Linked DNA regions of Arabidopsis thaliana. The protein of the gene in region 2 interacts with the protein of the main gene of each other region in a pairwise test. Each region holds a gene or a part of one and is shown on either strand. Other genes may lie near its edges.

What was found. The genes of interacting proteins can lie anywhere in the genome.
Region 1: the proteins of MEE18 (region 2) and AT3G61310 interact in a two-hybrid assay, tested with the Arabidopsis thaliana proteins (one large-scale study listed by BioGRID).
Region 3: the proteins of MEE18 (region 2) and AT1G29120 interact in a two-hybrid assay, tested with the Arabidopsis thaliana proteins (one large-scale study listed by BioGRID).

Annotation. Positions count from the first base shown.
Region 1 is NC_003074.8:22,686,778-22,695,832, reverse strand, and holds AT3G61310 (AT hook motif DNA-binding family protein), read left to right. Parts: upstream 1-2,682; 5' UTR 2,683-3,387; coding exon 3,388-3,844; intron 3,845-4,159; coding exon 4,160-4,227; intron 4,228-4,328; coding exon 4,329-4,460; intron 4,461-4,545; coding exon 4,546-4,707; intron 4,708-4,788; coding exon 4,789-5,034; 3' UTR 5,035-5,252; coding exon of another isoform or gene 5,253-8,171; 3' UTR 8,172-8,223; downstream 8,224-9,055. Other genes in the region: AT3G61320 (Bestrophin-like protein), read right to left, coding at 359-535, 625-831, 918-1,085, 1,151-2,014; AT3G61300 (C2 calcium/lipid-binding plant phosphoribosyltransferase family protein), read right to left, coding at 5,253-8,171. UniProt on the Arabidopsis thaliana protein: Transcription factor that specifically binds AT-rich DNA sequences related to the nuclear matrix attachment regions (MARs).
Region 2 is NC_003071.7:14,395,378-14,402,231, reverse strand, and holds MEE18 (maternal effect embryo arrest 18), read left to right. Parts: upstream 1-2,956; coding exon 2,957-3,236; intron 3,237-3,460; coding exon 3,461-3,577; intron 3,578-3,686; coding exon 3,687-3,819; intron 3,820-3,931; coding exon of another isoform or gene 3,932-3,946; coding exon 3,947-4,043; intron 4,044-4,184; coding exon 4,185-4,228; intron 4,229-4,315; coding exon 4,316-4,472; intron 4,473-4,700; coding exon 4,701-4,772; intron 4,773-4,914; coding exon 4,915-4,998; intron 4,999-5,169; coding exon 5,170-5,271; intron 5,272-5,359; coding exon 5,360-5,407; intron 5,408-5,475; coding exon 5,476-5,601; coding exon of another isoform or gene 5,602-5,688; coding exon 5,689-5,949; downstream 5,950-6,854. Other genes in the region: AT2G34100 (nonsense-mediated mRNA decay-like protein), read left to right, coding at 577-666, 1,177-1,429, 1,557-1,669, 1,817-2,089, 2,219-2,527.
Region 3 is NC_003070.9:10,171,319-10,179,394, forward strand, and holds AT1G29120 (Hydrolase-like protein family), read left to right. Parts: upstream 1-2,868; 5' UTR 2,869-3,162; coding exon 3,163-3,352; intron 3,353-3,894; coding exon of another isoform or gene 3,895-3,897; coding exon 3,898-4,045; intron 4,046-4,273; coding exon 4,274-4,341; intron 4,342-4,682; coding exon 4,683-4,753; intron 4,754-4,869; coding exon 4,870-5,115; intron 5,116-5,422; coding exon 5,423-5,586; intron 5,587-5,668; coding exon 5,669-5,724; coding exon of another isoform or gene 5,725-5,753; exon of another isoform or gene 5,754-5,816; coding exon 5,817-5,872; intron 5,873-6,295; coding exon 6,296-6,464; coding exon of another isoform or gene 6,465-6,493; exon of another isoform or gene 6,494-6,542; coding exon 6,543-6,640; coding exon of another isoform or gene 6,641-6,676; exon of another isoform or gene 6,677-6,720; coding exon 6,721-6,825; 3' UTR 6,826-6,828; exon of another isoform or gene 6,829-6,912; 3' UTR 6,913-7,203; downstream 7,204-8,076. Other genes in the region: AT1G29110 (Cysteine proteinases superfamily protein), read left to right, coding at 365-818, 1,203-1,753; AT1G29140 (Pollen Ole e 1 allergen and extensin family protein), read left to right, coding at 7,711-7,879.

The DNA of each region.
Region 1 (9,055 bases), on a different chromosome or scaffold from region 2:
AATCTAGATACTCTAATAGAATAATCTAGATAATTTGAATAATGTAATCTAGATCTTATGTAAGAACTCTCTAGACTTAGGATTAAAATATTTTAGATATTTTGTAGTTTGGAGGCTATAAATACCTCCTCCCCCTCTCAAATGTTGCAATGTTGTGAAGTTGTATTCAAGTTTAAAGCAAAGTAATAAAAGTTCTATTTCCTAAAAAACTCTCTCAAAACACTTAAACACTTTCTCCATTACCTCTAAAAGAATTTTACTCTAACATACGATACGTATATATCAAAGCTAACCTAAGCCATCACATGTTCTTAGCTCCCTCGGGAAGACAACCTACATCACTCACACCAACCGGTAATCAAGATCTATGGCGACCATTTGATGAGTGCTTGAATTCATGGAGCTTTATCTTTGCAATGATGCGGTTACGTATGACTTTCTCAGATTTAACAGCTTCTTGGATGTTACTATGCACAAGATCGCAAAGCTCATCTAAGGCCAACATAGGAAATGGTTCTTCTATAAGAACACCCACCTGCAGAGTTTCCAATCCAAAAAGAAGGTTTAATGGTTAAGGATTCAAGCAAAAGAGGGTAAGTATGGAGGAGGAGGAGGACAAAGTACTTCTTCTATGCAGAACAGAGAGGCAGCACTAATGAAAGTAGCAGGAACAACAATCCAATGGCATTCATCCCAGAGAATGATTGGGAGAGTTAGATGCCAAAAGACTAAAAACCTCGAGGTTAAGCGTGTGTAAGAGAGAGGAATCGGAATGCCCATGAGTTGTTCACAAACTCCAATTCCTTCATGTAAATGCAGCATCTTTGATTCCTGCAATGACGCAAAGAACATATATTGGTGTCAAGTGTTCATAGCAAAGAATTTTAATAGAGAGTTCAAGGATTCAAGAATGCTACCAACAAATCTCTCTTTGCATCGTCTAGTTTTAGCAACTGAATGCTCTGAGAAATGAACTCGATTACACAACGCGGACGATGCTTTGCTTGAAGAATCAGAGATAAGTCATCTGCTTCTATCAAGTTCCGGAGATCTCTTGCTATATCTGAACCATAAATCACATGACACTGCAAATGAAATTAAAGCATCAGAAACCAACAATAGAGTCAAGCAAGAGATGAATATTTTTTACCTTAAGAGCAACAGGGAAAGCTGCAATGTAACGAAGAAGCAAATCTTTGATGATCAATTCATCACCGGAGCTATCAACGGAACAAATAACTTGCCTAGCTAAATCATTAGTTCCAGCAATAATCCCAACCCAAGCTTTCCTTCCTTCTTCATACCTAGAATACGAAGCCTCCGTACGAAAGACCAGAAGAAGAGCCAAAGCCGGAGCTGTGAGCTGATACGGCAACGACGAGGATCGAAGAATTGGAAAAATACCAGGAAGCCAATCCAAAGCCACGGCGGAGTTGTAGCTAGCGATCACAACCGCGACGCTTGTGAAGAAGAAAACAGGTGGAATCAGGGAGAGTATAACTCGTGAAGAAAAGCTCGAGAGTAGATGACGCACATGGCGAAGAGAGCTTCTATGTTCAACCCATTTCTCGTGTGTGTAGAGAGAGCGTTTCTGCTGCATCCCACGCTCTTTAATCTCGTCTGCCCAATCTGGAACAGCTCTGAGGAGATGGATAAGCTTATCGGTTAAGGTTTCGTGACCTGAATCGTTGGATTCAGGACCAGATGAGACACGGGGAGGTTTGAGATTGACGGATTTGCGGAATCCGGTGGAGAATATAGGAAATCGTGATTCGAGGAGTGATCGGTGAGTGAAATTGGAAGAAACTGATAGATTCATGGATTGATACATTGGCGGGAAAATAAGGGGTTTTAGGTTTAGGGTTTGATAGAGACGAAGATGAAGAAGAGAAATGGTGGTTGACACATGAGGCTGCGTAAGGGTAGCAAATCGGAGGACTTCGAGAGGTGAAAAAACAAGTGATAGGAAAAAGGTAGTTGAAACGGTTGTTCCAGGATTGTTTACGTTCCACATTCAAACGTCGTCGTTTTAGGACAACATTGGGCTTTGATATGTTAAATACTGGGCTTAATTATTCTAAACGACGTTCGTTCCACGACAACATTGGACTTGGATCTGTTAAATGTTATTTTGTTTGAATATACTGGGCCTAATTATCCCACCGACGATTCGACTTCGATGTGTTTTTGTTTGATGTGTTAGATACTGGGCCTAATTATTCCTATCCGGCCCATAGAAGATTATAGCAAACAATTAATGTTCTTGTTGATCTTCTTCACTTCACTTCACATGACATGAGTACTAAACGTTCAGATTCTGTATTGTTGATAAACTCTTGGGTCCTAATGATTATTGTTTGTAGAGAAAAATGAAGATTTAAAGTGAACAGAACAGAGACAAGAACAATATTTACTCCACAAAATGGGAATTTATATTCATGTTATATGTCTCTTAATGCCAATATATAATCATTAGTCTCAAGTATTTATGGTAAAATAGAGTCTAAAGATAGATTGGGGGATTCATAAATTTTGAAAGCTTATGATGAAGTGGAAGCCAGTGAGGAACAAAGAAAGTCTTGACTAGATCACATCACTATTCTCTCACTCTCGACATCAGAAGCGTGAGATTCACTCTCTCATTCCCAATGCTTCGTTTGATACACGCACCTAATCTATAGCGTTGAGAATGAGCCACACAAAGATGATGATGATGATGGATGGATGGATCCCTCCTACAAATTGCTAGATGCTAGAAAGAAGTCTATTAGAGAGATAGAGAGAGAGCTTATATCACAGTCAAAAGTCAGAGACTTCAAATTTAATTTCGAATTTTGAAATCCTGCCTCATCATCCCATTGTATTGTAATCCACAGTAAATGCTTGGAGAAAGGATCTTTTTTTGTTTGTTTCTGTTTTCCCTCTGTCACCCAGTAAAAGAAAAAAAGCAACATCACATACACTCTGAAGAAAGAAAGAGAGAGAACCCTAGAAAACTTTTTTTTTTCTTCACCATTGTTGATTGATGGATGAGAAAGCTTATTCACACTTCATTTCTTTGCTTTTGGTGAGAGAATGAAACAGAGAAGAAGAGATGAAGAAAATTAAAGTTCTTTCCTTTTCTCTTTTGGATCTAATTTCATCTTGAGATTTTCTCATAGCTTGATACTAAAGCTACATAAAAAACAATTAGGTGAAATGAAAGTTTGTGTGTTTTGATAAGTTTTCAGAGATTTTCGGTTGCATGTTGTTATCTTGCTCTTGAAGTCTATCGAACCCTTTTAGATTCTGATTTTGTTCTCTTCTTATCCCTCCTCCTATAAGTTAGCCATTTAGGGTCCCCATCGAATTTTACTAAGTTAAAGTCAGAGTCTTTTTGGTTAAGCTATGGATCGAAGAGACGCAATGGCGTTATCCGGGTCGGGTTCTTACTATATCCAAAGAGGAATCCCCGGTTCTGGTCCTCCTCCTCCTCAAACTCAACCAACGTTTCACGGATCACAAGGATTTCATCATTTCACCAATTCCATCTCTCCTTTTGGGTCAAACCCAAACCCAAATCCAAACCCTGGAGGTGTCTCTACTGGATTCGTGTCTCCTCCTTTACCCGTTGACTCTTCTCCGGCTGATTCGTCAGCGGCGGCGGCGGGAGCTTTGGTTGCTCCTCCTTCAGGTGACACGTCTGTGAAGCGGAAGAGAGGACGGCCTAGAAAATATGGACAAGATGGTGGTTCTGTTTCGTTGGCATTGTCTCCTTCTATCTCCAACGTTTCCCCGAACTCTAACAAACGTGGCCGTGGAAGACCTCCTGGCTCCGGCAAGAAGCAACGGCTATCTTCCATTGGTAATATCCCTAATCTCTAACTTATGAGTTTTATTTTCCGACAAGGACATTGGCTCTGAATATGGTGGGAAGTTTTGAGCTTAATTGATGATATAGTTTTTCAAATGAGGACATTGGTGGGAAGTTTATTATAAGCTAATTCGAACTGTTAAGGATTAATTAAAGCTGTGGAATTTTATAATGTCAAATTGTTGAATTCAATATTTATTCTTTTATTATTCCTTGGCCTTTCTCTTAAACTTTGTTATTGCTCTGTTTCTCCCTGATTACAATTAGCTGTGATTTTTCTGAAGACATTTGATTCTTTTTTGTAAGGTGAAATGATGCCTTCATCAACTGGGATGAGCTTCACACCGCATGTAATCGTAGTTTCCATTGGTGAAGTATGTTTCTTCTGTCTCCTCTTGAATAAATCTGTTCTTTTTTTTCTTTGTAATCTTGCCTCTAGTTCTTGAGATAACCATACTCTCGGTGTTGCTTTCAGGACATTGCTTCAAAGGTTATATCGTTCTCGCATCAAGGTCCACGAGCGATATGTGTCTTATCCGCAAGTGGTGCTGTCTCTACTGCAACTCTTCTTCAGCCAGCACCTTCTCATGGAACTATTATATACGAGGTTTTATTGAATCATCACTCACATTTTATTATCTTTTAGAAGACAAAAACATTACTTATTTTGGTGTATACTTTGAAACTTATAGGGTCTATTCGAGCTCATATCTCTCTCAACTTCTTATCTGAACACAACTGACAATGACTACCCAAACCGCACTGGAAGTCTAGCGGTCTCACTTGCTAGCCCCGATGGTCGTGTCATTGGTGGTGGAATTGGAGGTCCTCTAATAGCAGCAAGCCAAGTCCAGGTGAGCTTACGCTTGTTATCAAATTCCTTAGATGAATTTAGATTTCTTATGCTTAACTATGTGTGTTTGCCTCCTTAAAAGGTCATTGTTGGCAGCTTCATTTGGGCAATTCCGAAAGGGAAGATTAAAAAACGTGAAGAAACTTCTGAAGATGTCCAAGATACTGATGCTTTGGAAAACAACAACGATAACACAGCAGCAACGTCACCTCCTGTTCCTCAGCAAAGTCAGAACATTGTTCAGACTCCTGTAGGCATTTGGTCAACTGGTTCAAGGTCAATGGATATGCATCACCCCCATATGGACATTGATCTAATGCGTGGATGATTCATGTATATATAAGCATTGAATCTAGGAGAAGAAGAAGAAACTTGAGCTAACCTCCCTGAAACAAAGTAGTCTATTGGTATTGTTTAGGAAAGAAAAAGACAATTAGTAAGTTTAGGAATTTCTGCGTGTTTTCGAGCTTTCAGTTAGTTGATTTGGTCTCTTGACTTGTTATGAATGGGAAAAAAAATTGCTTGTTTCTTATACGTTTTAGCATTCTACAGCATACAATCTGTTTTAGCAGGAAGTCGTCGGAAGAAATTAATAGGTCCAGGAGGTGTCTTACCCCTGAATCTTGGAGGTCTCATGATGTATAGTCCGGCGAGAAGAACAAAAACCTTAAACGGCACAACATACAAAACGACAGTAGAAACCAAACAAAGCACCATGAAGATCGAAGTTGCTCTTGGATCTCTCCAGCTTAACAGAGCCTGAACTCGTTCTCCTTGACCTGCTATATCTCCCACAACCGTTTGAGCTCTACTAGCGATACTCCTTAACCGCTCGTACCGCATTTTTACAATCCCCGGGTCTTGAGACGAAAAAGGGAAGGTATCGAACTCTTCGTTAAGCTCTTCCGGGTGGATATTGTCTGCAAATGATAGTCTTGTGTCCATGTGTGGAGGTTGTCTTGGACGGAGCCTGTAGTTCCATACCCCAAGCATGAACAAGCAAAGAGACATCACTGGAAGAATCATCTCCGGCGAACACACTAACACCAAGAAGATTATATGAATAGCTGTAGTTTCTACCGGTTTCTTCCACCTGCAGATATCTTGAAACCATTCTCCGGTTCCTAGTAAACCAGAGAAAACAGAACTCAATCTGAAGAGATTTGCACGGCTCTTCCTCATGCTCCATAAATGCGAATTTGAATCCGAAATGTATTCAACTACTTCTTTTCTAAGTGGCGGCTCGGCTCTACTTAACCGAGCTGCCACTAAGTTAACCGCATGCTGCCTAAGAATCTCCTGCTGCACTACTTTCAACGGTCTTGCGTAATGCATCTTGGGAAGAAGCGGTTTCCAGTACTGCATTAGCATCTGAAACATCGATGAGCAGGAAAACCTAATCGCTAAATGCAACTCCCCCATTTTCTTTAAACCTGAAGGTCGAAGAACAAGAAGCGGATACGAGTGACTGTAGATCCTTCCGGCTTCGAGAGTCGAGATTCTAACTCTGATTTTCCCAATTTTCCCATCTCCTTTGTTACCATTACCACTATTGATCTGATTGTTATCGAAAACACCGATTGTTATTACAGTTGCTGGCTCATAAACCTCCCATGTGTACTGCTCATTGAACCGCGGGTTTAAACAGTTCGTAACGGTTCGAGTCCTGACCCATTTGGTTCCATACTTAGCTACACAATAAGCATCCACCGTCTCCTTCTTCCCTTCTTGGCTCAAATTCAAACCTTCAATTCTCAAGATTCCTAATTCAAGAACACCAAAAGACGGTTGTTTATGACTCAACAACTCTTTCATCGACGGTCTGAAATCGCTGCTGTAGTAAGTAGATTCATCAAGAACGTGGTAGCCTCCTTCTAGACAAACGTTTAGATGAAGTCTCGTCGTCGCGAATCTGACTCTTCTCTGGTTCTCAGTTTTAAGACTAAACCAACGGTTAGGCACTGTCCGGTTATCGTCAATCCGTTTATCAATTGTACCAATCGGTATATGTACCTCTCCCAGCGTTTCCTCTCGGTTAGGTGCGACTCGGTCTTCAATCGAGATGATCAGATCTTCAAACGGTTCAGCCGCGACGAGAGTGAACTCTTCGTTCCATCTTGGATTCAGCGAGTGACTCGGTTTGGTTCGAACCACTTGGTTATTCAACCGGATTTTTACATATGGATTTGGCAATCGAGTCCGGTCTGGTACAATAACTAAGTCTTGTGCCTCGATGACATTAACCCGGAGGTACCAAAGCCTTGGAGAATGATAGACTTTAGAACGCAAACTCGATTTGTTAACAGCGTTTAAAGCGTCTGAGTATGTCGCGTCTGAGAACGCTTCGTCGGCTTGAGTACCGAACCAAACAGCCAACATAATCTCGCCTCCTTTCTCGTTGTTGACTCTGTACCATTCTGGAGCTAAAGGACTGTCTGGTGCGACACGTGTCGGAATCTGATTGAGATCGAACCGGATTAAACCGACGAAATCGTCTTTGACCATGTCTTTGTCCATGACGATGACTTCAAGAACGTTTGATTGTTGATTGGATTTGGAGAAAGCGAAGACTTCGTTCCAAACCGGGTTTTGATTCTTCTCAAAATGTTTGGTTTTGCCGGTATAGTTTCCGAGTTTGACTTCGATGTATGGATCTAGACTTCCGGTTAAGTCCATGGATGGAAGATTTCTAGCTTTCACGATTTTGATGAAGAGAAACTCCATTGGCTCGACGAGATCATGATCACTTGATCTTGCTCGTTTGCCTCCTCCGAGAATCGGTTTCGTCTCTTTGATAGAATAATCCGGTGGATTCGGATTAAACCCCATAGTTGTAGGTATCGGAGTACCAAACCTCGGTGCTTGATAGAGAGAAGACTCCATCATCGGTGGCGGTAGAGCCGTTTGCGATTGAGGCGGAGGCGGTTGCGGTTGAAACGATTGCTGATTCCCTCGTGGGCTATGGTTACTCTCATTTGTGGGGATGTTGTGAAATTTGTGCCTTGATTTAGAAGGAATCTTCTTTGTAGAGATTAGATTCGGTACCTTGGGAGAGGGGTTATCAGTGAGGAAAACTTTGAGAGCGAGCTCACCTCCATTGGCGGCAGCGGAAGAGAACATGCTCCATTTCTCTTTCTCTAGAGGATAAGGCAATCCAACAGCTTCTGAGTACGGGAGAAACGCAGTTCCCAATATTCGAATCTTACCTAGACAAGATTTTGTTATGCTGCTGGTTTTATTGTAAACGTAAGCGTCAAGAAATTGATTTGATAAATCCTCTGTATCAGAGATGTTGAAGAAGAACTTCTCGTTCCACACCGGACTAGAGTCATCGATCTTAGTCATAGTTATGACTTTCTGATCGTCAAATCGTAGCTCGACGTAAGCGTTAACACCGCCATAGTCCTCTCTAGGTTTGAGCCTTGCGCTTATGACTTCAACGCCAAGTTTCAGATTACTCATCATTTTTACTTAAAAAATTTCTGAAGAAAACAGAGCAGAGGTTTTTGAAAGTTTCTTCTACACTTATGAGATCGTGGAGACTTGTCTTACAAGACAACTAGGCAAATGTTTTTTTGGGGGAATTTTGTAATGTAATTAAACGTTGACCGTATTTAATTAGGGTCACGCAACGCGCTTATCTGTTATTAATCGTGACGCCAATCATCAGAATTCTTTTGATTATGAATTTATATGATATTAAATAAAAACATTATTTGTCAACAAGTAAGATTGGGGATAATGCAAGGGCTTATTAGGTACATTGTCGTATTTAAATCCAAAATTAGTAAAATTGCGTGGTAGGGTTTTCAGAAAATGTCATGTATGTTATCAGAAAAAAAAAAAGACATGAAATTTGTTAAAACCTCAAGCAAAAAAAATCTATCTATCGAATTCGCTTGGTAGGTTTTTTCTCACAACTATCTATCGAAAATTATTTTGCAGATAAATAAATTGAATACCTTCCACAAATTGGCTATTTACTGTAAATATATATATATATATATATATATATATATTTTGGGCAAATGCCTAATTTTACAATGTAAACTCGTAATTTTTGGGGTCAATTATGCAATGCTTCTTTAACTTGTAACTAATTTATTTCATTTACATTAGCACCAACGAACCAAGGTTCCAATTATTTTCCCTGCATTGTTTAAATGATAAATTGATAATATTTATGTGAAAATCGGACGTCTAACCAATAATGATAGTTAACAGAAAAGAATTAATGATATCATATTCATTTGTTAAAAAAACAAACAAAGTTGGTGCTTATATGACGACTGACATAAAGTTTTAAACATTTAATATTGTTATACCACTTGCATTACTCCCGGGTGAAT
Region 2 (6,854 bases):
CTAAACCAATGGATATAGTGAATACTTTGTTTGTTATATAAATTATTCAGATCAGTAAGATGAAGAAATAACCAAAAGTTTACTAATTTCTTTTATACAATTTACAAATCTATAAATTTTTCATTGTTATCACTTAAAAATTAAAATGGATAATATACAGGCAGTTGTATGATATCAAAAGTATATCGGAAGTCCTAGTCTTATGTGTTATTTTAGAAATTAGGAAACGAAAAAAAGTTATAAAACCTCGTTAAAACCCAACTCGTTTTTTCCTGCGCTCATTGTTCCTCTATCTCTCCAATTCCTCCGAAGCAAATCTTCTTAACTAAAACTTCCTCTCGCACGTGGTTTCGTTTTCATTCGTAAGTTTTCTTTTAGCGATTGTGCAATTTTCGAGACATTCAATCGTCGTTCTCGATCGTTCTAATTAGGGTTTCCGCGACTCTTTTTAGGCCGCTTAAACAATATTAAGGAGATTCCTTTTATTGACTAAAATTAAGAGTTAGATAACTGAATTTTGGTTTTGAAACCCTTCCCTGTTTTCATACGGTACCAGGTCAGGTTAAATTAAAGATTATGGGAGGCGTAGAAGGTAACCAGTGGTTTGATAAGTTTATGGACGAAGTCGGATTGGTATTTACCAAGGTTGACGAATCGATACAGAAGGTAAGTACTCTTGTTCTTCTGGTTTGATCTTTATTTGATGTTTATGCCCTAAAATTCAAGAGTTTATGGTTCTGTCTATGTTGTGTGGCTAAAAGACTAAACCTATGTTCTTTTATCATCATCATCATCATCATCATCAACGCAAAGTATATGCTACGAATTGATGTAGATAATGTATTTTAGTTATTAGTGTATTTAGTAGTTAAAACAGAATTAAGGTTTCCAAGGTTCTTTTAGATTTTTTTTTTTCTTAAACGATGAAGAGTATAAAAAAAAGTTTTGCATAAGATCTGAAAATAGAAAGACCAAGAGATCATAGAAAGACAGCTTCAGTTCCATCAGATATTTTATTAGATTTATGGAAACCTAATTGATCACGGTCTAATCCTTTTGAAAACCAGAACTATTCATGATAGTTAGATCTTTCCATAAAACAGGCTTCGATTGTCAAAACTTACCGTTTACATGACAACTTTTCTTTGATTTGGTTTTTCTTTTCTATATTTTCAGAGTATTGAACTCTGGACAGAGTTAACCAAAGACATATTTGACGACCAGCCTAACCAAGACTTGACCGGACAGCCAGATAATGGTGGATCTGGTGATGAACATTCCTCTCAATATCCTGTCTCTGAGGTCAAAGAAAGACCGATTCAACACTGGTATATGTGCCTTTCTGACGTAAAAGAAAAACCGCTTCAACACTGGTCTATGTGCATTGCTGAGGTCAAAGAAAAACCGAGCCAACACTGGGCTATGCGTGGTATGTGTTTTATATATAGTATATATTACATTATAGTTATTGTAAATACCATTAAATTAAAGTAGCTAGAACATCAGCACTTTTTTGGTTTCTTGACTGACAAGTATCATATTGATTTTCTTGGCAGCTTCAAAATTCCCAGAGAGTTTCACTCAAGCACAAGGTGGTGATGATTGTTATGAAAATTATGGTGATGGTGCTGATGGTATTGATGATGATGATTATGATGAAGAGAATAGTGTAAGTTTGAAGCACTTTTCCCATTTTCATATCAAAGCTCATTAACTAGAATAAGTAAATCACCATGGATTTTGTATAACGGAATTTTGGTAAATTTAATTAGTTGCTACTTTGTTTATTGTCTCTGACTGAATCTTTCTGATATAGGAATCGAGTTTGAAGTGGAACTGTGACTATCAGCTGTTAAAGAGTGGCTACTTGTCTTTCGATGAAGAAGAAGAAGAGGATAATGACGATGAAGAAGATGTTGACATTTTCTCCGAAGATAGTGATGATTCATGGAATGAGGATTTTGATGATGAAGATGAAGAAGCGGATACTACAGTTTTTAAATATTCCGAAAACATGTCGGAGCTTGATTTGGGATCAGCGACGAATTATACCCCTAGTTCCTACGATCATCGTAATGAAAAAGATAGTGTAAGTTTTTGTGTAGCAGTTTTTTTCACATTTTTATACCTATGCTCATACAAAAACTAGGAAAATGATCATCTATGAAATGTTGTTATTTTAATCAGTTGCTGATTTGGTTATTGTATTTGTGATTAGGGTTCAAGTTTGACGTGGAAAGGTGGTTATCAGCAGTTATATAATGTTGACACGTCTTCCGACGAAGAAGATGAAGAATCATGCGATGAGGAGGATGATGAAGCTGGGGAATATCACTCTGAAGAAGCGATGGAGATGTCGCGCGAGCAGAGAATGAGCGAGCTAAGGAAAGTGCTTCATGACGATGAAGATGACGTATCACAAGGATTTGTGAATGTGAGGCGAGAGACAATTGCGAAGAATACGGAATTTGGTGAGGTCGAGACCCTTTTACCAGATGGTGATTGGGTTTATGTGAAGAGTGCTTAGGGCTCTGATCTTTTGGCAAAAAATGTGTGTGATTTGATCGAGTTTATACTTTACATCGGCTTTAATGATATTTATTTGTGTAGTTTTTTGAGTGTTTCATTCGTTTTTCACAAGGCTTATGTCACTCTATTAACTTGGGGTTTAATACCAAATAGTGTACTTTTTCTTATCATTATTGTTTGTCTTCTTTGCCATTCGATCATGTGATCTTTTAGATTATCTTAAGGTACCTTTCCAGTGGAATCATCGACATTTGGTCTATACATGTATTTTGAGCTCAAACACTAATGCAAAACCACAATCCCACCAAAATCGATTTAACACTAGTTTTGGTTTATTGGACCAAACCAAGTAGAAAACCAACAAAACCACCAGTACCGTGATTATTTTCTTTTCTAACGCGTAATAAATATCTTTTATGGCTTTATTATGCACTCTCATTGCGAAAAAAGAAAAATCCAAAGGCTTGGAAAATCGACAAAAACGAAAAGGGTAGTGGTGAGATGTTTCATCATTCTCTGTTTCAGTTCGGTAATGGCGGAGATTTGCTATTTTGGGGGTCTAGTCCATTATAAATCACCATCTCTTCCTTTGTCTCTTCATTCTCTCTTCCGCAGCAAGAAGCCACATTACTACAATTCCACTTCTCTCATGGCTGAATGTCTCTCCTCCTCCACCGTGGAGCCTCCTTCTCTCCTCGTCTTCTCAGGTTCCACTTTCTTCCTCTTCCTTGTTTCGTGGGTCTCCCTAAAGTTACGATTTTTATGTCGATAAGATCGTCTATTTGTGTTAGATCTTGACCAATTACTTAGAATTTGACATTTGTTAATTCTGTTTGTTGCAAAGTGCAAAGCTTTATCATTGTCTTACATTGGTTTAGGTAGTTTTCTTTTGCTCTGAATTTTGGAAAACGTTATATTTGTTGCTATGAAGGTGGTACTGGATTTAATGGTGTGGTTGAAGAGTTGAAGAAGTTAACAACACGAGTCGCTCATGTTCTTCCTGTCTCTGATGATGGTGGAAGTACTGCTGAGATTGTTCGTGTTCTCGGTAAGTTTTAGAACTCACTAACATTGCTACAAGACCCAGATTATATATGTTTTAGCTTCTTTAAGTTTTTACCAGAAGTAATCTAAGCTCAATATCTCCGTTGCTATAGGAGGGCCAGCGGTTGGTGATATACGTTCGAGGTGTTTAAGGCTGTCTGATGAGAGTACTTCAGAGGCACTTGCTGTTAGGCGGTTGCTTGGCCATCGCTTACCTATTGATGCACATCAGGCCAAGAAAGATTGGTAATTTATCCAATGACTATGTTTTCTTTATGCACATAGTGTGGTCTACTCTATAAGCTACACATTTAAGGTTCTGTGGTGGACAATATTGTGTAATATACCATTGGCTGAGTTGGAACTTTGACAGGTACGATATTGTAGAAGGTAATCATTCTCTGTGGGATGGTGTATCAAGACCCTACAGTGAAACAATTCGCGCTTTCTTGATATACTTTCAGAATGAGGTAATGTTAACTGATACAGAGAAACATGTTTTTATTGGTTTCATATTTGATCAGTTCCAAGTTCCAACTTCTTGATTGTTTAAATTTTTCTTTACCTTAATATTCTGTCATTTCTTACTTGACATGTTTCTTATGATACAGATTCATAGGCGACCTAATGAGAGATTTTGCTTCAGTAATGGAAGGTATTGAAGATCTTTTTCTCGGCTTCAACTGTGTATTATTTTGTTCGCCTGTTTAGTAACTCACTTATGATTGTTTCCTTCTTGTAGCATTGGGAACTTCTTCTTTGCAGGAGCAAGGATATTTTTCCAGTCTTTAGATGCTGCAATTTTTCTGTTTTCACGTGTTTCAGAGATTCCTTGTGACAGTTTGGTCCTCCCAGTGATATCAACCAATGATAGGCTAACACTAGGATGTGAATTACAGGTATGAAGCTTGATCTCTATTTGAATTCCCGCAGCTAGCTTATGGAATCCCATTCTTGTCCACAAATATCGCAGCTAAAGCATCATTATTTGCGGGAAGAAGTATCGCTTTCTATACATAAATCTTGGCTGTCGCTTCACTGGCCATCTTCTTGGTTTAAACAATTAATGGCAAGATTGAGGTGGCAAATTTGTTCGCAAACTAACAAGTTATGACTTTAATTTGTAGGATGGGACTATAATACGCGGACAGAACGAAATTTCTCACCCGACCACTGGGACTACGCAGACAGTTGACAAGGTGTTCTATTTGAATATCTTACATTGGTGTTTTTTGATGATCACGAGAACTAAGTTTACTATATACTTGTATCAATTAAAAATGTCAATTTTGCCATATGTAGAATTTATTTTCTTACATTGTCTTTCTATGTTTCTAGTAGAGACATTGTTCTACTTCCGCTCTCCCATCGAAGATAAAGAGAGTGTTTTACATGTCAAGTGAAGGCAATAATCTGCTTCATGAGGTTAACTACTCTGCTTTTATATATACAGAATGTCCTAGATATCTTCAATGTTATCTCTAATGATTCTGATTCCCTTTAAGAAACTCTATCGTTTTAGTTCTCTACTTCATTTCTTTGTTTTGCACGGTGTATTTGACATTGCAAATGTTTGGTGTTATGTCCATTAAACAGGTCTTCCCACCAGTTAACCCAACTGTCCTAGAGCAGTTGAGAAGCGTGGACTGTATCGTTTACGCAATGGGATCCCTGTTCACTTCCATTTGCCCATCACTGGTTAGCACCCGCAATAAATATGTTGTGCAAAAATGGTGGATTACTAAATTTGTGATAACTGTTATAGACAAGTCTTTCTGTTCATCAGGTTTTGCTTGGTGTTGGGGAGATTATCTCTTCCAGGTCATGTCGTAAGGTATGCTGAAGCTTGTCAAAAATACTAATGATGGTAAAAATCAATCTGATTTCTTCTCTCTGTCACAGGTACTTCTTTTGAACGGTAGCCAAGACCGAGAAACAAGCAGGTTCACCGCTTCCTGCTTTGTGACTGCTATCGCTGACGCTCTCAACAGAACTCATGGAGATACTAATATTCGGCTCAAGAATCCCGTGAGTGGTTCTTCACAATCCACACTCTTTCGATGTCTTCTTTATCAGACATATATCGATATCCAAGAACATCATTTTTGTGTGCAGCCTGGATATTACATCAACACTCTCTTGGTCCCGAAAGATGGAGAAATAGCAGTAGATCTCAAACAATTGTCTGAACAAGGGATATATGATGTTGTCAGTATCTCTTTCCTTCACTTGTTTCCAAGTTTATGTGCACAACAAACACTCACTGTTACCTCCACTCTATTGCAGAGAGTCGTGGAGAGTGTTGGTGACCCGAAGCACGGTATCTTGTTCAACCCGAGCTCACTGATAAACACACTGGCCGGTTTGGTGGAGTAAATAGTGATTCTTTAGGCCAGAGCTAGTTTCTTCTTCTACGCAATTGGGACCATGATTTTTTTGTTACTGTTTAGTTTGATCCTTTAGTGAATTGATATGAAAGGTTATGAATGGTCAATGATCATATTCTTAGCTAAGGAAAGACAAACGCCTCTCTTTCTCTCGGAGTTGTATCATATGTTTTTTCTTACACGTTTTACATATAACTACTGTACAGATGAATACAGTTCACTTTCCAATGAAACCAAATGATGACATTTCTACATAACTATGTGTGCTTTTCATTCCCAAACAAGCAAAGGCATCTTTGTTTCTCACTGTGTATTAACATGTGTGCTTTTACTAAAAAGATGTATTAAAGCAAAGCAAATGATGCCAGCAACAAACAGAGCGTGCCCTGAGATTGGTAGGGCCCTAAGCCCATACAACTTTGTTGGCCCTTTCAGTTAAGTTTAGAAAAGAATCACTTGTTCAATAACCAATGTTAATTGTTGAAAGATGAATTTAACCGAAGATTTCTTTACAAGTTTTTGACACAGTGATCATAATTTTATAATGCTCACAAGTAGCAGTACGTGACTCTTGTAAGTCAAGTAGAGAGACATAAATATACCAAAATATTAAACTTGTATGATGACAATGACGCATCCATTTGAGCCCATGCTTCATTGCTCCTCCATTCAGTGATTGGGCAGACATATAATATGTATTGTTTTAGACACTTTGTTTCTAGTCATTCGTTGCGGAAATGACAAACAAATCAACTTTTTAACAGAATTTATTACAAAAATATGTAAAGTACACGCCAAAAGAAAAAAGTGTACTACTTTCATAATTTAACATAAACTATGCTATTTTTGACTAAACCTTAAGTGTTTACATACTACGAGGATCCTAACCAAAAA
Region 3 (8,076 bases), on a different chromosome or scaffold from region 2:
GGTTTAAACGCAAATGTAACACTACCCAAAACCTAAGCTAGGTTGCTATAGTACACATAAAATATAGCTAGATCTTATCTTTTTTTTTGTAGAAAATGAAATTGTGATGAAATATATATACATTACTAGCAATACATTTGCATATAAAGAATGGAAAGTTATCTTGCAAAACAAAGAAAGAAGTTATTCCTCTAAGATCATGAAGCAAGTAAAGCAAATCACCACAATAGAGTCATAAACCTTCATTTGCTTCAACCACAATTCTCATTCCATACTATATATATATATAAAAACTCTTTCTCCCCATTTTCACTTCTTCATCACCACAACACAAACACTTTAAATATTACTCACAAAAATCGAAATGGTGTCTGTACGATCTGTGTTCGTGGCTCTAACCATTCTTTCCATGGATCTAAGGATCTCTCAAGCCAGACCTCATGTCACTTTGAACGAGCAATCAATTGTTGATTACCACCAACAATGGATGACTCAATTCTCTCGAGTTTACAAGGATGAATCCGAGAAAGAAATGAGGCTTAAAGTGTTCAAGAAAAACTTGAAATTCATTGAGAACTTCAATAATATGGGGAACCAAAGCTATACACTTGGTGTCAACGAGTTCACGGATTGGAAAACAGAAGAGTTCCTTGCGACCCACACCGGCCTCCGCGTTAACGTAACTTCACTATCCGAACTATTTAATAAAACGAAGCCATCAAGGAATTGGAACATGAGTGATATCGACATGGAAGACGAAAGCAAAGACTGGAGAGACGAAGGAGCTGTAACACCTGTTAAATATCAAGGAGCATGTCGTAAGAATACTGTGATCATTTATTATAAACACTTTACACTATAATTGGAAACAGCGTTACAAGAAAGGATAGCATATTCCGACCAAAGAATTTGTCGGAACATCTTGTTTCAGCCGAATTTCCAACGAAACAGATTCGTCGCAATTCTTTGGTCGGAAAACAATATACGTACGATATAGTAAACGGCTGGATTGGTCATTTAATTAATGTCAAAATTACATTCCACATACAAAAAAATACATTTCGCTAAACTTAATCCCCAAGATAGGGTTATTTTAGGTTTAGGGCTAACAGATGATTTGTTTACTAACAAAATGAAGTAACCAATATATATATACATGGGCAGGAAGTTGTTGGGCGTTCTCAGCGATTGGGGCGATGAAGGTTTGACAAAGATATCTGGCAAAAATCTATTAACACTGTCCGAACAACAGCTAATAGATTGCGACATAGAGAAAAACGGTGGTTGCAATGGCGGAGAATTTGAAGAAGCTTTCAAGTACATAATAAAAAACGGAGGCGTTTCTTTAGAAACGGAATACCCTTACCAAGTGAAAAAGGAGAGTTGTCGTGCCAACGCCAGACGCGCCCCACATACACAGATTAGAGGGTTTCAAATGGTTCCAAGCCACAACGAGCGTGCGTTGCTCGAGGCCGTAAGAAGACAGCCCGTCTCGGTGTTGATTGACGCAAGAGCGGACAGTTTCGGTCATTACAAAGGGGGAGTGTACGCTGGGCTGGACTGTGGGACAGACGTGAATCATGCAGTGACGATCGTTGGGTACGGAACGATGAGTGGGCTCAACTACTGGGTTCTTAAGAACTCTTGGGGTGAGAGTTGGGGAGAAAATGGTTACATGAGGATCCGTAGAGATGTGGAGTGGCCTCAAGGAATGTGTGGTATAGCTCAGGTTGCTGCTTATCCGGTTTTTTAACTAATTTACTTAGGTGGTTTTTTATATTGAAGTGATCATACATTTTGTAGCCTGGTTTATGATTGTTTACATGTGGTAAAATTGCAACTTAAACTTGACCTTAAAAACTGTAATATGTTCATTTTATTACTCCATATAAACGTATTTCCCTCACTTTCATAATAAATAAAGGGATGTGTTTTTCACTTAAATCGTGTTCCATAAGAAACATTGTTTGAATTTTCAATGCAAATTTTAAAACCAAATTTAAAATTATCGCTAATAAAACTAAAATTATAGTGTAAGACGTGTTAATTACAAGTAGATTTTGATTTTATTTTTCATCGAAAATGAACCTTTATTAACTTTAATCGAATATCAAACTAGTACAAATGATGGCAAATCCATGGGGCTGGATTAGAGACATCCAAATAGAAAGGTGAATCTACACATCCATATTAGCTAAATGGTAAGCGGCAACATTGTTGCAACGTTTTGTGAAAAGGAATTGGAACTCTTTAAATTTCTGCGACCAATAATGGATATCTTGACATGATATCCTTATGATTAAGATACCTTAGGCAGTATTATAAGTAGATTAGCAAAAAAACAAAAAAAAATTATATATGAATCCATCATTAAGCTTGATTTGTTTTTTTAACTTGTCCAAATAAAAGTTTAGTTTCAATATAACAACATCTACAACACCCGGTTACATATGATACCTCGAGGTCCACGACGACACACTAGTACACTACATATACATAACCAATTCGCACCATATGATATTTAGATACCCCTTTGACAATATCATGTAAGGGCTTTTTTGGAAAGCATCACTAACAAGTTAACAATTGGATTTTTACAAAAACCATAAAAATTTTACTCGGTTTAGTAGACAAATATATTTTGGTGTTATCTTACCATTTACACCAAAAAAAAGAAAAAAAAACTACTAGCAGTATTGATTAAAAATTTAAAACAGAAAATATATATATATATATATACCAAAAAATTGTAAATAGTATTCTTTTGACCTTTGTTTTGGAGTGAATTGGTTGATGAAGAAGAAGAAGAACCTGGTCCGATTCTAAACCTTTTTTTGAATATAAAACGGAATAAAAATATTCTGTGTTTGAGTCGCCTAACAACAACACGCACCACCCGAAATTATAAAGTAAAAGTAATAAAATCAAATTATATAAATTGGCAAAAGTCGAAGAAGATGATGATTGAATGTTTATTTGGCAGTGAATGGAAGAGATAGAGAGGAGCATGGGTCTCTGTGAAGAAGATAACGTAGAGAGAGTTATTATGTTTGATTCTGAAGCGTGACGTCACTCAGAAACCGTGAATCAAGGATCTTTCTTCCACTCCTTTCTCTGATTTTGACTTTCTCTCCTCTCTCTATATATAAGCTCAACATCAATATGTCTACGGCTTCTTCTTGGATTCAACAACCTCCTTTTAGATACTTACCGGATCGTGGCGGTTTCTCTAAGCCAAGCTCTCGCAGCGCGCGGCAGTTTTCCTCCGGCGTTGTTTCAGCTTCCGCTTCTTCTCCTTCGCCTTCATCCTCGTGCTCCTGTGGTTATTCGGAGATTTTGAATTTCGATTTCGGTAATAGGCTTTGATCTTCGAATGATGTTTGTCGTGTAGATTTAGGGATTGATTACTTTGTTCATGTTTATCGAATGATGCGTTGTTACATCTGGAAATGACCTGACATTGTACTGCAAAGTTTCATAGCTGAGGATTTCTCGATCAAAGACGTTGTTTAGGATGGTGAAGAATAGTATCGCCTAATTTAGATTGAGGAGGAGCTCAATTACAGTGTCTATATACACAGATTTGTCCCTGTTTCTGCAAGAGATAGAAGATTTTAAGATGTTAGATGATTGTGATATGCCAAGTAGAATTAGTGATAGTATGGTTTGTTTGGTCAAGAATCGGCTCTGTTTTTCTTTTGATTTAGAGCTCACAATTTCGGTGTCTATTTAAACAGATTTTTCCCTGTTTCTGCGATCGAAAATAAGCTTGAACATGTTAAATGATTGTGAGAAGCTAAGTAGAAATGGTGATAGTATGATTTGTTTGGTTAAGAATTGGCTCTGTTCTTTATAGCTTTTTCCGCGGGTTCATTTGTTTGATTTTTCTTTAAGAAGGGTCAAACAGAAGCTGGAACCAACAGGGACGCAGGGTTCAGGCAATGAGTTCCACAGCCCAACGGAAATTTTCGCTATCGAAAGGCGACTCCGATGACAAAAATGAACCTGATCATCTTCTTGTTCTTGTACATGGTATTTTGGCCAGGTATTATTTCTAAGTAGTTCATCAATTGAATGGTACTGGGTTTGCATCTTGGGAAACCCTCATGGTTTTGTTTTAGGTTGGATAGAAACTTGCAAGTATTTGAATTTGAAAGTTATGTCTATCATTGTCAAAAAAAAGAAAGAAAGTTATGTCTATCATTTCTGCTACTTTGTTTTCAGATTGAATAATTTATAGACTCCAAATTTACTAAGACACAATTACTTGCAGTCCCAGCGACTGGCTCTACGTAGAAGCTGAGCTGAAAAGACGCCTTGGAAGAAGATTCTTGATTTATGGTATGCTCATCTTGTTCTAAATTGTTATCATCTATTAGTTTAGTTGAGTAGTTGTTGGATTGTATGTATAATAGAAGAGAATTTTTGGGAATGAAATGGTAACGTAAGTTGAATGCATGTGCTGGGCACAAAATTGAAAACACTTCAAGGTCTTATATAATCTTTAGCGGCAAGAGGCGAAATATACATTTTCTTGAAAAATTTAAGATCTTTTCGTCTGGAACCACAACTCTTCTTTAGTTTTGTATTTTATTATAATACTCATGTGCTTTTATGCTATGCGTGGAATGGATCACACGTGATGTGTTTTAATTTACTCTGTTTCTCCTGAACATTCACAGCAAGTTCTTCCAATACCTTCACTAAAACATTTGGCGGGATCGATGGAGCTGGAAAACGACTAGCAGAAGAGGTGAGTTTTAATATCTTCATTTGCACCTCGTGTATAGGTAGGTCTTGGTTTTCTAGCCCTTAACTTCAGTACATGAGCTGATTTCTGTTCCCATTCTGGATGTGAGAGAGGAATAGGTTAGACAAGTTGTCCAAAAGAGCAAGAGCTTAAAGAAGATTTCGTTTTTAGCCCACTCCCTCGGTGGCTTATTTTCCAGACATGCTGTTGCTGTTCTTTACTCAGCAGCAATGGCACAAGTAAGTGATGTTGCTGTCTCTCAATCTGGCAATTCAAATCTTCTGCGAGGTAGGATTGCGGGGCTAGAACCGATTAATTTCATCACTTTGGCAACACCTCATCTAGGAGTGAGAGGCAGAAAGCAGGTTCTCTTCTTCTCTACTTATCATAATTGGAATTTTGGAATCAAAGAGTTTCATATATATCTCGCAGTACCTGTACGTAGATGTGGTGTATGCGTAATTAAGAAAGTAGTTAGTCGTTTTTCACATGTAAATTTCATCTACCTTCTCCTTGTGTTCAGACAGATATCATAAGTTTCATCAAAACTGTCTTGCGTTTTTTGCTATTTGGTCCCCTAAGTGTCTAGACTGATGAGTGATGAATATTAATTGATAATCCCTGTAAATTCTATCTCATTCTCTCCTCTTTTTCTGGAACCCCTTGTATCAGCTGCCTTTTCTGTTGGGAGTTCCTATTCTTGAGAAACTTGCTGCACCAATAGCTCCATTCTTTGTTGGTCGGACTGGTAGTCAGTTGTTCCTCACTGATGGTAAAGCTGATAAACCACCTCTTCTTTTGAGGATGGCATCTGATGGTGAAGATCTGAAATTCTTGTGAGTAATGCTCTTACCAATTTAAATCATTCGACCCCTTAATGACTTATCTGTAATCCTAATGCATTTCATTGTCTGGCAGATCGGCGCTGGGGGCATTTCGAAGTCGCATTATATATGCAAACGTATCTTATGACCGTATCCTGTGCATTTCTGTTGCTGTTTAACTAGTACAGATGTGCCTAGCTGTGTCTGCATTTGTTTTCTGAACTGTTTCCTTTGACATCAAGTAGACATGGTTGGTTGGCGTACATCTTCCATTAGGAGAGAAACTGAACTTATCAAGGTACGTTTCATGCTATATGAAGCAATGGAACCTTTCTATTTAATATTACCCCACTTGTTTTCATGTTCCTTCTATTATGTAAGTTGATTTCGACTCTGAAACGTGTAGCACACACTAGCTAGATGATGGGGTCATCGATATTGATAGTTAGCTTGCTGTGAAATGCTAACGGTAGCTAACTTATCCTGAATTTTGGAATTATGAGTAATCATAGAGGGAAAGTTTCATAGAGGTAAAGAGTCTAAGAAATGAAACAATTGTCTGTAGAGAATCACCAAAAATACTTTCGGCAATTCATTTATCTCAAGTAGCTTCGTGCAAGAAGCTCTCTGTGGCTTGTAACCAGTCAAATGAAACTTTGAAAATTATTTAGCTGTCACGAGTGAGATCTGATAGATATGTTTTTCCCCTGTTTTAATATAGCCTTCACGCCGGTCTCTGGATGGATACAAGCATGTTGTTGATGTTGAATACTGTCCACCTGTTTCATCAGATGGTGCCCATTTCCCTCCAGAAGCTGCTAAAGCCAAGGAGGCCGCACAAAGCTCTCCTAGCCCTCAGAACACACTTGAGTATCATGAAATTGTGGAAGGTGTAGAATTAGCCCAAACATTTGATTGATTCTTCTAAATCGGCATGAGATTTACAATTTATACAAATATTGGTGCAGAGGAAATGATCCGCGGTCTGCAGAGGTTGGGGTGGAAGAAAGTTGATGTCAGCTTCCACTCCACCTTCTGGCCTTACTTAGCTCATAACAACATTCACGTAAACTTCCAACATCTTCACTTTGGAGCTTTTTAATTCTTTGAAACATGGACTAACAGAGATTTTGAGTCTTGTTTCAGGTGAAAAGTGAAAGACTTTACAAAGCAGGAGCTGGAGTTATTGCACACGTTGCAGATAGTATAAAACAGCAAGAGTCTTCCACGTTTATTACCGCCAGCTTATAAATCGTGAGCATTTCGAGTGTTTGACCCGTTAATGCTGAGTGTGCTACGACATTTGAACCATTCCTGTGTTTTGCTTTTACCATACAGTTTGGGAGATCGGTGCAGATCAAGAATGTTCGCATCTTTGCTTCTTCTATTTTTTTTCTTGGCGAAATCAGAAGAAGTACAATCCAATTCATCTGTACATGATTTTCTTGTATTAGCTTGTTGATGATACAACACTTGAAAGATGTTATTATAGATTAAGGTTTCTTAAAGAGAAAAGTTATATATGTTCAACCTCTACTCTTCAAAATAACAGATTCAGCTGAAGACATTTGTTTCTAGTCAATTTGTTTTTGGAATTTTTCTTAATTCAAAGAAAATTGTGCAAAAGCTTTCATGTGCGGCTCAGATTAATTAGTCATTTACTACTAATAAAACTTTCACTTTGGGGTCTAGTAGATAATTCTCCACCCCCATTGAATCTTTTTAGTGGAGGTCTAAACATACATAAGATTCTATAGATTGACATTTGGGAAACCATCCTCATACAAAAAAGACCTAAACGGAATCTATGAAGAATTATTAACAGAAAAGAAAAACAGATGGCAATGAGAAAAGATCGGGTTCAAGGAAAACACAGCCGTACAAAACTCAAGAACAAAAACACCAAAAATAAACAAAAAAACTTCCAAAAATAGATATAGAATCACATGGTTTTGTTGTTTTGTCTATTTGTTCTCTATAAAAGGAGATATTTGGTTGGATCTATCATAGCGTCTCCTCTCAACCAAAGCTTACAATTTGTTCTCCCTTAAAAACTAAATTTTACAAATAAACTCTCAAATCCAAGAGAGGAGAAGACCGAAGTAAAAACACAAGAAAAAAAAGGATTAAGGCATAATGGCCAAATTCTTCATTGTCTTCCTTGCCTCTGCCCTATGTTTCACCACCCTCGTTCACTTCACCGCAGCTGATGCCGACGACTTTGACAAATTCCACATCAAGGGCTCCGTCTACTGCGACACATGCCGTGTCCAATTCATCACCCGTATCAGCAAATTTCTCGAGGGTAATTAACCACATTCTCTAATCAAATTCATTTGTTGAGCATACTGTCAATAGCAAAATATATTGGTTGATAAAAAATCGATCCCATTATGGTATATAGGTCAATGGTTAGAATTGTGTAGTAAAAATTCACAAAAATGATTACAAGCATATATAGACGTCTTTTTAACAATGTTAAAATTTTATAAAAATGTGGTT